Canis lupus familiaris: one gene and its partners. The protein of the gene in region 1 interacts with the protein of each later gene in a biochemical or structural test. Links are inferred from orthologs where the notes say so. Each region holds a gene or a part of one and is shown in the gene's direction. Other genes may lie near its edges. The genes, in order: YAP1, ubiquitin carboxyl-terminal hydrolase 17-like protein 6 and TTYH3.

The links.
Region 2: the proteins of YAP1 (region 1) and ubiquitin carboxyl-terminal hydrolase 17-like protein 6 form a complex in vitro, tested with the Homo sapiens proteins (3 studies listed by BioGRID, with this or other methods). The link is inferred for Canis lupus familiaris from reciprocal best matches to the Homo sapiens genes YAP1 and USP17L2.
Region 3: the proteins of YAP1 (region 1) and TTYH3 interact in a test that uses a peptide from one of them, tested with the Homo sapiens proteins (2 studies listed by BioGRID and IntAct, with this or other methods). The link is inferred for Canis lupus familiaris from reciprocal best matches to the Homo sapiens genes YAP1 and TTYH3.

The regions. Positions count from the first base shown.
Region 1 is NC_049226.1:29,551,452-29,555,100, reverse strand, and holds part of YAP1 (transcriptional coactivator YAP1), read left to right. Parts: intron 1-562; coding exon 563-753; intron 754-2,788; coding exon 2,789-2,836; intron 2,837-3,649. UniProt on the Homo sapiens protein: Transcriptional regulator with dual roles as a coactivator and corepressor. Critical downstream regulatory target in the Hippo signaling pathway, crucial for organ size control and tumor suppression by restricting proliferation and promoting apoptosis.
Region 2 is NW_023330959.1:17,656-20,820, reverse strand, and holds ubiquitin carboxyl-terminal hydrolase 17-like protein 6, read left to right. Parts: upstream 1-968; coding exon 969-2,576; downstream 2,577-3,165. UniProt on the Homo sapiens protein: Deubiquitinating enzyme that removes conjugated ubiquitin from specific proteins to regulate different cellular processes.
Region 3 is NC_049227.1:14,738,342-14,742,090, forward strand, and holds the start of TTYH3 (protein tweety homolog 3), read left to right. Parts: upstream 1-1,453; 5' UTR 1,454-1,497; coding exon 1,498-1,620; intron 1,621-3,749. UniProt on the Homo sapiens protein: Calcium-independent, swelling-dependent volume-regulated anion channel (VRAC-swell) which plays a pivotal role in the process of regulatory volume decrease (RVD) in the brain through the efflux of anions like chloride and organic osmolytes like glutamate.

The DNA.
Region 1 (3,649 bases):
GCTCAGAATGCTTCGTGTCACTGGCTGTGGTAGATGTGTTTTTAAGTAAACTGGCTGTGGTAGAAGTATTTTTAATTAAACCTGTACTTATATTTTGTAGTAAATAACGTGTTCACATCACTCAGATATCCAAAGTGACCCAAAACTATCTGTGCAACTCCACCCTTCCATCACAGAGCCCCAGGTCCAAAGCCAACACACGTTCGTGGCTTCTGGGCTGCCCATCCCTTGCTGTGCTCTGGATGTGCATGGAATACGTATACCCCTCCTTTTTTTATACCTTCTGTTCCACCCTTGGCTTTTATCTGTATACATCTTCGACCGTTCACATTGTGGCCGATGCGCGCCCCATCTTGTCTCTTCAGTCTTGCATCTTATAAGGACCACGGAGGCAGCAGCCGTGATAACAAGTTCATGGAACCATTGTCCCAGTGGTGGGTTTTCAGGTTATTTCCAGCCTTCCTGCCATAAAGGCTACGTTGAGTATTCCCAGTTGCTTTTGAAAAGCTGTCCTTTGCCTTTGCTACCAGATTTTTAGGCTAGATGTTTTGTTCTGTTGCAGCCATGAACCAGAGAATCAGCCAGAGCGCTCCGGTGAAGCAGCCCCCGCCCCTAGCCCCGCAGAGCCCTCCAGGCGTCCTAGGGGGCGGGGGCTCCAGCCAACAGCAACAGATGCGCCTCCAGCAGCTGCAGATGGAGAAGGAGCGGCTGCGCCTGAAGCAGCAGGAGCTGCTCCGCCAGGTGAGGCCCCAGGTTAGAGGCCAGCCTTCCACTTTTCGGGGTGTGCTTCCTGTGTGTGGTCCCGGTGTTTTCTTCTAGCCTTGGTATCTCCAAGGGGGTGCTGCTCTTTCACCTGCTGGAGCAGCAACCCAGACATATTGTCTCCAGCTCCGCCCTGTCTTCATTCCCAGGCCCGCCTGCAACACAGATGGATTTTTGCCTTCTGGGGCCACTTAGCTGTAGGCGACCAGACACTGAGGTCTTCCCGCTGGGAGTAAATCACTAAGACATTTCTCAAATAGGCAAGTGGTGGCAGCATTGCTGAATCTAAGATATTTTATTTCAAACATAGTACAAGTGACCCCAAGTTTAGAACTAGATCCCCTAGTGCCTTAAAATGTACTGCTCTGAATGTCCCTTTGAGATGGCAGGTAGGATGGCAGGTAGGACGGAGGTTTCCATGAGTCTTATCTCAGGATATGGCTGCTGAGCTCCTTTGTCAGGAGATTAGACAGCCCCCTGGCAGAATCAGGTTTTTACGGTCTCTTATTTTGGGAGGGACCAGGCATGCAATCTTATCAGAGCAGTATATATTTTAGTTTTCATAAAATTGTTTTGACCATAGAAACAGTGCAATTTTGAAAGTAGGCAGAAGGTGCTTGTGCCCCGAGTCCTGTCCTCCTCAGGGTGTCTGGAATGGTCAGCTTCTCATTTTCATTTTTCATTGGTATTCTGTCCACAGACATGAAACACATGTATTCACTATTTTTCCCACTAAATTGTAGCCTCCCAAGTGTAGAAATAAAAACATGACACTCCACTTTTCTGGACACAGGAGTGTCACTGGAAACCCATGGACGTGGTATGGTCACTGAAGCCTGAGCCCTGGGGATGAAAGATAAGCCCTGGAGGTCCCAGACAGACTATGCTGTCAGCCATTGGTCAGTGCAAGCCTAGTGCTTAGCACCCCGAGCGAGCCCGGGGACGAGAGAGCACATGTTCCCATGTTTCATGTCAGGGAGTAGTCTCGAAAGATGGTTTTTTTTTATCTGCCATCAACAAGGTGGAGAAAGGAATCATATTCACACAATTTATTGTACCTCTGAGTTTCCAACCAATTACTAAAAGGAAAGATATATTTCATTTAAATCTTTATCATCAGAACAAGGTAGCACCATCAAGAGTATAATTATGCCTCTGTTAGAAGAGATCAGCTAAGAGCCTGTTTTCGATGCTTGCTTTTCACTTTGTTACTGATCACTAGATGGTCTCAGTACAGACAAGTCTCAGTGTCAGATATGAGTTGAAAACTGTCAAAACCAAGAAATCTTATTAAGAAAAATTACGTAATTGTTAATGTTACCATTCATCATTTTGTTGTATGCCATCAATCAGACTGGAATTTTTGTTTTGTTCTGTGATGTTTTGTTTTGGTGGGCAATGCTGCTGTTTATAAAACTCTTCCTTCAGAGAATTTTCCTAAGTCTTACTCTCTTCCTGTGGGTGATGGGTCCTAGACAAAACAGCTTAACTTCCTTTAAAGGCAACTTCTGTGTTTCTTCTCTGTCACCAACTGTGTTGTCTCTTCTCCCGTTGAAGTGACAGACCTGCTCTATTCTCATACTAATAGTCTGTTTATTAGGATTTTTTTGGTTTTGCTTTTTGGCAATCAGTATAAATTCAGCAAGTCTGAAGTTTTGGATTTCTATGAATTTCTTCTTCTGTTGGTTGCTCTTATCCCAGAATGTCGAGTTACATTTTTCCTGCTTCTTCTAATATTCAGAAGCAAAGAACCTCCCTGACCAACATCACGTGTTTGAGGTTGAGTTTGAGTCTGACACCTAAAGCCTGCTGTCCTGTCCTCAATGCTATGCTGTTCAGTATTCCTCGGTTTCAGTTTGTTATGTGGTGACTCCGTTGGCTACTGTCTTCCTCAGTTGCTGCTTCTTGGGCTGGCTTGGGAGTTCTGTGCTATGGTGGTATGTCTGGATGAAATTTGTAAGTCAGCCTACATAGCCAAACCATGTGGCTTAAAGTAATTTTTATCCATCTTATTTTTTACTCTTAGGCAATGCGGAATATCAGTCCCAGCACAGCAAATTCTCCAAAATGTCAGGTAGGCTCTTATCTGATGTTCTAGCATTTAAAAAAAAAAAAAAAAAAGATATTAAATTAGGAAAGCGAGAAACTTGTGCTCCAGGGGCCTGTCCTCACTGACCGTTAGCCCAGGGTATAACACTTGAGCCATCTTCTTCCAAATATGTAACGTTACCATTGCCATTCCCAGAAAGTCTACACTGCCTGCTTCCTCCTGCTGCTTCCAGAGAGTCCTAGTGCTCATTTTGATTCCATGGAAGTCTTGCTCTATTACATATTGGATATGTATTATATCTTAGGTGTGCATCCTGTCAACCTTGGGGCATGCCTGATTTTCATTTGCCTAGCTTAAAATAGTATTTATAATGATTTATAGGAATTAACCATTTGAACAGTAACAAAATGGCACAGATGATCTCCTTGGGTAGACTAAGAAATCCTAAGAGAGTCAAAATGGTACTTTTAGAGGAAAAATTCTTCTCAGGGCATTCCAAAGGAAGAGTATCTCAATTACCAAAAGAGGAAGCGTCTGCTTGGGTCATGTTTTGGGTTTTTTATTGTTTATCAACTTTTCTCCCGGATGAACCCCAGAGATTACTGGTTGAGAGAACATCTTACTTAGATGGGGAGATTGTGGCTACTGTCCTAACTCAGACATTTATCTGATTTAAGGGAAGAATCTCAGTCTTGAAAACAGATTGTCTGTGCTCAGAGTTCAAAAGATTTAAAGGACTGAAGAGCTAGGAGGTCATTGCCCTTTTTCCAGGTGGGGAGAAGCAACCATGTGCTGCCTCGAGTGCTCCGGGGCTGTTCTGCACGGAGCTAAAGATGT
Region 2 (3,165 bases), on another chromosome or scaffold:
TTGGGTCACAAGCCCCATTCCTCACCTTCGTCTCCCTGCCTTCTCCCTCTCAGCCTGGTTCAACAGCCCAGCCTGGTGCCGCTGGTCCCGCTGACTCCCCGGCTCCACATTCTCCTTCAGCCTCCTGGAGCCCAAGGCAAGGGGAAGGAAGGTTGCACCCCAGTGTGTTACCGGGCATCTGGTGCTTGGTGCCTTGTGTTCAAGGTCCCGCGGTCTTGTACAGGTAAAATGAGGCATATAAACACTGGATTTAGGATATAGACTCTTGTAGGAAAGGGAGTTTCAAAGGAATGTTTCCCAAAAACATTAAACCAGTGAGAGAATTCCTGTTGTGGTGGACCCGGGCCACACCAAGGCAGAAACTGGTATTCATCAAAACATTCACAATCTTTGTAGATTGGAATCATAGTCCAGAGAGATAGAAGTGGAGAAGCCAAGCAATGGATGCCATATTCCCAAATAATTGGTTTCAGCTACAAACATTCTGCTGGTGAGGAGAACGAGTTCCTATGTGATACCTGAGCTCCTTTGGGAGAGTGATCTTCCCTGTCCTAGAGCACTAACGTCTAACACTCCTTGGCTCCCTTGGGGTTACTCAAAGGAAAGGACATTCAAAAAGGTTTCCTCTGAACATAGAAACTCTGAACAAATTCTGTTGAGAAAGGTGCAGGGACAGTTGAGGTGGTTGAGAATAATCTGAAAGTTGCCTGTTGTGGGAGGCAAGAATAGGAGCTGGGCTGACCTGAATGGTCTCCGTCAGGGAGGGACCACACCCAAATCCCGTAATCCAATCAAGCAATTAGAGTGGATTAGAGGACTTTGTGCCTTATCCCAGGGCCCAAAAGCCATAAAGGTGGAGGTGAGGTTCACTATCTGACATTTGGAAACTGGCATCAGTGAGAGGAGCATCCCTTTGCGACCCTGAAGCTCCTGGTTGAATGTATCTTGTGGACACTGTTTCTGCAGACATGGAGGCTGCCCACCTCCACCCCTCAGAGGAGCCTCAGTTCAGCGCCTCTCCCAAACCCCAGTCATACTGGTCAAGGAGAGGCGGTGCTGAAGTCCACGGAGGACCCTCTGTGCCCGAGAGGACATCTCCTGCATCAAAGACGCTCTCCTCCCCGACTGACCCGTTGGCTCCCGCATCAGCAGGGCTGCCTCCCACCAAGACGCCTCTGAGTTGGAAGAGCCTTTCCCAGGTGGGAGCCGGGCTTCAGAACATGGGCAACACTTGCTATGTGAATGCGACCCTACAGTGTCTGACCTACACAGAGCCCCTCGCCAGCTACATGCTGTCCCAGCAGCACGGGACCACCTGTAGGAGGCAGACATCCTGCATGCTGTGTACCCTGCAGGCTCACCTGATGTGGGTTCTCTGCCATCCTGGACGTGTGCTCCGGCCCCTGCCACTCCTGCTCGCCGCCTTCCACAGACACAAGCAGGAAGATGCCCATGAGTATCTCATGTTCATTCTGGATGCAATGCAGCAAGCATGCTTGCCTGAGGACAAGCTCTCAGACCCTGAGTGTCCTCAGGACAGCACCCTCATCCAGCAACTCTTTGGGGGGTACTGGAGGTCTCAAATCCAGTGTCTCCACTGCCAAGGCATTTCGAGCACTCTGGAACCTTACCTGGACATCAGCCTGGACATCGGGGATGCTCACAGCGTCAGCCAAGCTTTGGAGCAGTTGGTGAAGCCCGAACTGCTGGAAGGTGAAAATGCCTACCATTGTAGTAAGTGTCTGGAGAAGGTGCCTGCGTCCAAGGTGTTGACTTTGCACACTTCCCCGAAGGTCCTCATCCTGGTCTTGAGACGATTCTCAGACTTGACAGGCAACAAAATGACTAAGGAGGTGCAATATCCTGAGCGCCTTGACATGCAACACTACCTGTCTGAGCAGAGGGCAGGACCCTTGGTTTATGTGCTCTATGCCGTGCTGGTGCACGCTGGGAGGAGTTGCCACAGCGGACATTACTTCTGTTTCGTAAAGGCAGGAAATGGCCAGTGGTATAAAATGGATGATGCTAAGGTCAGCGCCTGTGATGTGACTTGCGCGCTGCGCCAACCTGCCTATGTCCTCTTTTATATGCAGAAGACTGATCTGGAGAGAGACCTTGGGAGGGAGTCAGTCGAAGAGGGAGGACTCGCATCTCCCGAGGCAGACCCCACAGTGGTGGGTGAGGCCTCAGGAGAGCCGGCAACGGATCCCTCCGTGAACCTTCCTGAGTTGGAGGAGCGTGGGGAAGAGACCTCAAGGCAACAAATGACATTAGACCAGTGGAGATGCCTCCAAGAATGCAACCGCCCTAAGCCTGAACTTAATGTCAGGAGAAGAGAAATTGCTCTTCCTGCGAACGCAGTCATCCTTCACCACTCCAAATACAGACCTGAGATGCCGAAGAATCATCCTCAGCAGACCGTCGACCTGCTCACCACTGCGGCTGGGATGCTCCCACCTCAGGTGGCCGGGGACGTGGCCAAAGTCCCGCGTGTGCCAGGGAGAGCCCGACCTACCAAGAGGACGAGCAAGAAGGGACAGAGTTCTGGGGAAGCAGTCCAGGGATGTGTCTCCTAACTTTGGTGCACATGGGCGCACACACCCACACACACAGCGTCACTCACACACTCCAAACCCGAACACAGACCCATACTGGAAATATTTTGTGTTGTGTGAAGTGTGTGTTCTGTATGTATGGAAGAACCATCTATCTGGTGTGTTCATGGGATATGGCCTTCAACTGAAACTAGGAGACACTGATATTTAAACCTGGGTCTTTGTCATGATCTTATATTGGGATAGTGTGGATTTCATATGGGGTCAATCCAGGAACCTGCCTCTCCTTCAGCCTTGTGGAGAGTGGGGGCCACTTGCAGGTGAGAGGCAGTGAGCAGTCAGGGTTGAGAGTGGATATGATGCTGAGGACCTGGGGTTGAAGTCAGTATGTTTGACCCTCTCGTCATGGTCCCCACTTCCCAATGCTTTTCTTCTATTTATATTGAAAGAATTTTGTCTGAACACATAAGTATGTATTGGGTCTTGCTAGCGATGTGTCTTGGTCAATGCTTGGAAATTGTAGGAAGGAAATTAAGTGCTTACTTTTGGGGCAATAACTGCATCCAGACCTGATTGAACCACAGTGATTTTATTATGTTCCCTTCACTCT
Region 3 (3,749 bases), on another chromosome or scaffold:
ATCTCCGAGTCAATGTGTCCAAATTCCTTCTTATGAAGACATCGTCATTTGATTAGGGCCTGCCATAGTCTAGTATGACCTCATCGTAACTTGTTCACATTTGCAATGATCCTATTTCCAGATAAAACCACAGTTACAGGTACCAGGAGTTAGGACAAGGACTTATCTGTGTGTGTGTGTGTGTGTGTGTGTGTGTTGCGGGGGTGGGGGGGACACAAGTCCACTCAGGACAGCTGAGTTATCATCTCACATGTTTAGGTCAGGATTTCTGGCCTTATCAGATGGAAATGCACAATGTTTTGGGGCTTCTGGAAACATGGAAAAGAGCTCATAGACCCCATGCCTCCACATGGGGACCCTGGTCGGCCTGATACACTGGTGCCTGGGGGCATGGGAGTCAGGGTGATGCAGGGGGTCTGTGGCTGTGTGACCTGCTGCTAATAACAGGACCCAGACACCATGCCCTTTAGGGATGGAGAATGTGACCTCTCTCTTCCTGCAAGGCTGTTATTCCTCAACTGGGTGGTATCTACATTATCCCATGGGTGGACACCATAGTTTTGCAAAGGCTCTCCTATGCCCATGGGCCTTTGCAGGAGGCCAAGTGAGGCCACCCAGCCTTATTACAAGAAAACAGACAAGTCAGGTCAAGCAGGTGAGCAGATGGACAGGCCTCTTGGGAAGCCACCGCCCGGAGTCTACAAGAGCCCAGCCCAGCCTGCCAGAAGGGGCCTGTCTGCCCACAGAGCTGGCTGAGCCAGAACATAGCAGGTGACAAAGTCCCAGATGTAAGGAGGGCCCTGTTTCTCAGGATGCAAGAGGTCCAGAAATAATAGTAAGAGGCCAGCGCAGCCCCTCCAGGCTGAACCCCCGCAGAAGCTCAAGGAACGTGCAGTGGTCGAGCCGACGAGCGAGCACCCTGGGAACCCTGGGAAGCGCAGCCAGGCGTGCGGATGTGCCGCGGGGTTCCGGCCCCCACCCCCACCTGCGGGTGGAGAATCAGCGGCTGGGCGCCGGGGTCCGCTCGGTCCTCCCCGCTCGGCGCCCCTTGGCCGAGGGGCGGGGCTCCGGGTGGGCGGAGCCTCCTCTAGCGAGCCAATGGCGGACTGGGGGCGGAGGCCTGCGGGCGGGCGCGCGGGGGCGGGGCCGGCGGGCGGCGGACCAATGGCGGCGGGGGGCGGGGCCGGCGGCAGAGGCGGGGCCGGCGGGCGGCGGGCCAATGGCAGCGCGGGGGCGGGGCGGCGGGCGGCGGGCGGGGGCGGGGGCGCGCGCGGAGGCGGCGGCGGCGGCGGCGGCGGCGGCGAACAAAGAGGCGGCGGGCGCGGGCGGCCGAGCGGAGCCGAGCGTAGCCGAGCCGGGCCGAGCCGGGCCGGGCCGGGCCCAGGAGCGCGCGGGCGATGCGGGCGGCCAGGCGGGGGGTGGCGGACCCCTGAAGCCCGCGCCCCCGGGCCAGCGAGGGAGCCCCGCGGCGGCGCGCGCCCGAGGCAGCGGCCCGCCATGGCCGGGGTCAGCTACGCGGCGCCCTGGTGGGTGAACCTCCTGCACCGGCTGCCCCACTTCGACCTGCGCTGGGAGACCACCAGCAGCCAGTTCCGGCCCGAGGACACCGACTACCAGCAGGTGACGCGGCCCCCCGGGGTCGGGGGTCAGGACCCGGGGTCCGGGCCTCGCCATGCCGGAGTCTGGGGGCCCTCGACCCCCCCCACCGCCATCGAGGGTCTGGGGGGTTCCCCTCCCCGAGGGTCGCCGCCCCCGTCCCCCTGGAGGGTCAAGGCCTCCGCCTTCCCCAGGGTCCTCCTGCGTCCTGGGGCCCCCCTCCGTGAGCGTCTAGAGACCCCCGTCCTGCATCGAGGGTCCATGGCCCTCCTGCAGATGCTAGTCTTCTCCCCTGGTGTCACTTGGGCCCTCCCTTCTGGGGTCTGGGGGAGCCCCCTGTGCCAGCTGTCAGCCCCAGCCCAGGCCCCTGCCCCACTCCTGGGGCAGCCCTCACCTGTGGCCCTGCAGAGCCCCCAACCCACAGGGGCCCAGGGCTCTGAGACCCAGCTGATACCTGAGAGTACTGGGTGCAGCCAGGAGGGGATTCCTTGCTCCCTTCCCCCCGGCTGGGGAATCCCACTCCCTGCCAAGATTTTGGTGGGTGAGTGAGCTGGGCAGGTGCCAGCCCTCTGTGGCTGGCCGTGACCCCCGGCTGGGTGGCCAGGCTGTGGGGATGCACAGTGCTGTGTGTGCGGTGGTGACACCTGGCCTGCCTAGAGACCCGGCTGCCAGTAGCCCCTGAGGAAGGAAGGCCTGACCACAGGGACACTCAAGGTGGGCCTCAGTCTGGGAGTCTGGGCAGAGTAGGGGGCAGTGGGAGCCTCTGCAGCCTTCTCCCCAAGGGACCAGGCTCTCCCAGTAGAACCCGAGGCCTGGGGTCATGCCAAGCCCAAGCACCAACCCCCCCCCCCCCCCCCCCTTTGCTTGAGCCACTGTCATTTGAGTGCAGGGCAGGGGACCAGGCTGTGGGCATTTCCTTCCTGCCTGGGGATCCGGATTCCAGAAGCCCCATGGCAGGGATGCCTGGTCACCCAGAACTCCCCCAGAGTGCTTTCTCTCCAGTGGTCATTGCAGAGCCCCGGGTGGAGTAGATCAGCCTTGCTTGTCAAGATGGCCTGGGAATCCAGGATTCCATGATATGATCACACCTCGCCTTTGTAGAATTCTGTCTTCTGTGGCCACCCTCATCTAGAAGATGAGAATCGGAAGCAGAGAGCAAGGGCACCATGGGCACCCCAACTCTGCAGAGGAGCCCACCACTCCCAGCTTCAGTGCTCACCTGAGGCCTGCCCCCCACCGCCCCACCCCCAGCTCTGCTGATTTGTTTCTAAGCAGATTAGAAAGGGGGCCAAGGATTGGCCCAGGCATGCCCAGAGACAGCATGATTTTTATAAAACTCAACGCCCACATTCTAAAAGCCCAGCCCTGGGGTGCCGACCAGTGTGGGAACAACACCCTTCTGTGCTCCCAGGGGCTTCCATATGTCATGGCTCTGTCACGTCCATGTCCATCTCCTGGCTCCCGCGGGCCAGGGGCTCTGCTGTACTTAGGAAGTTCTCTGCCACTTCTCAGTTGGGAAGCTCTCGGGTTGCCCCTGGGGCCACCTGGGGTGTCTGGGACCTGCACAGAGCTGGCCTGCTGGCCTGTAGGCGGCACCTGCTGTGGGCCAACCTCCTGCCCTCTGGGGCTCCTGGGACACGTTGTGGGGAAGGGAATGAGGGGCCAACGCTTGCAGCCTGTGGAAGCCTCCAGAATGGTAGCCAGCCCCCCAGCTCAGCCTGACCCCCTGCAGGGCCCTGTGCCCCTAAGAGGTCCCTGGTGTCTTCCCCCAGCCTCTGTGATCACTGTTCCCTCCTCCGCTGTGGGAGGGCTCTGACTCACTCTCCTGCCTCCTCTCTGTGGAGCAGAATTAGCCACTGAATAATTCACGGCGTGGAAACCAGCCTGTCTCCATCCCCCGCCGCCTCCGCTCCTGGCTGGGGGCTGTAGAATGAGCCAGGCCTGGACATACATCCTGCCCCCTGCCCTCCCATGCTGGTGCTTTTGGGCAAGCATTTGACCTCTCTGATCCTTAATTGCCACATCCTGAAATCTGGGCTGGCACACTTTTGTGGGGTCACAGTGGGGAATGCAAGGGCCCTGTGTTCCTGCTCCATTTTTGGTTGCAACAGACAGAGCTCCCTTCCTGGGTGGCTGGGCCATGGGTCGGTGTG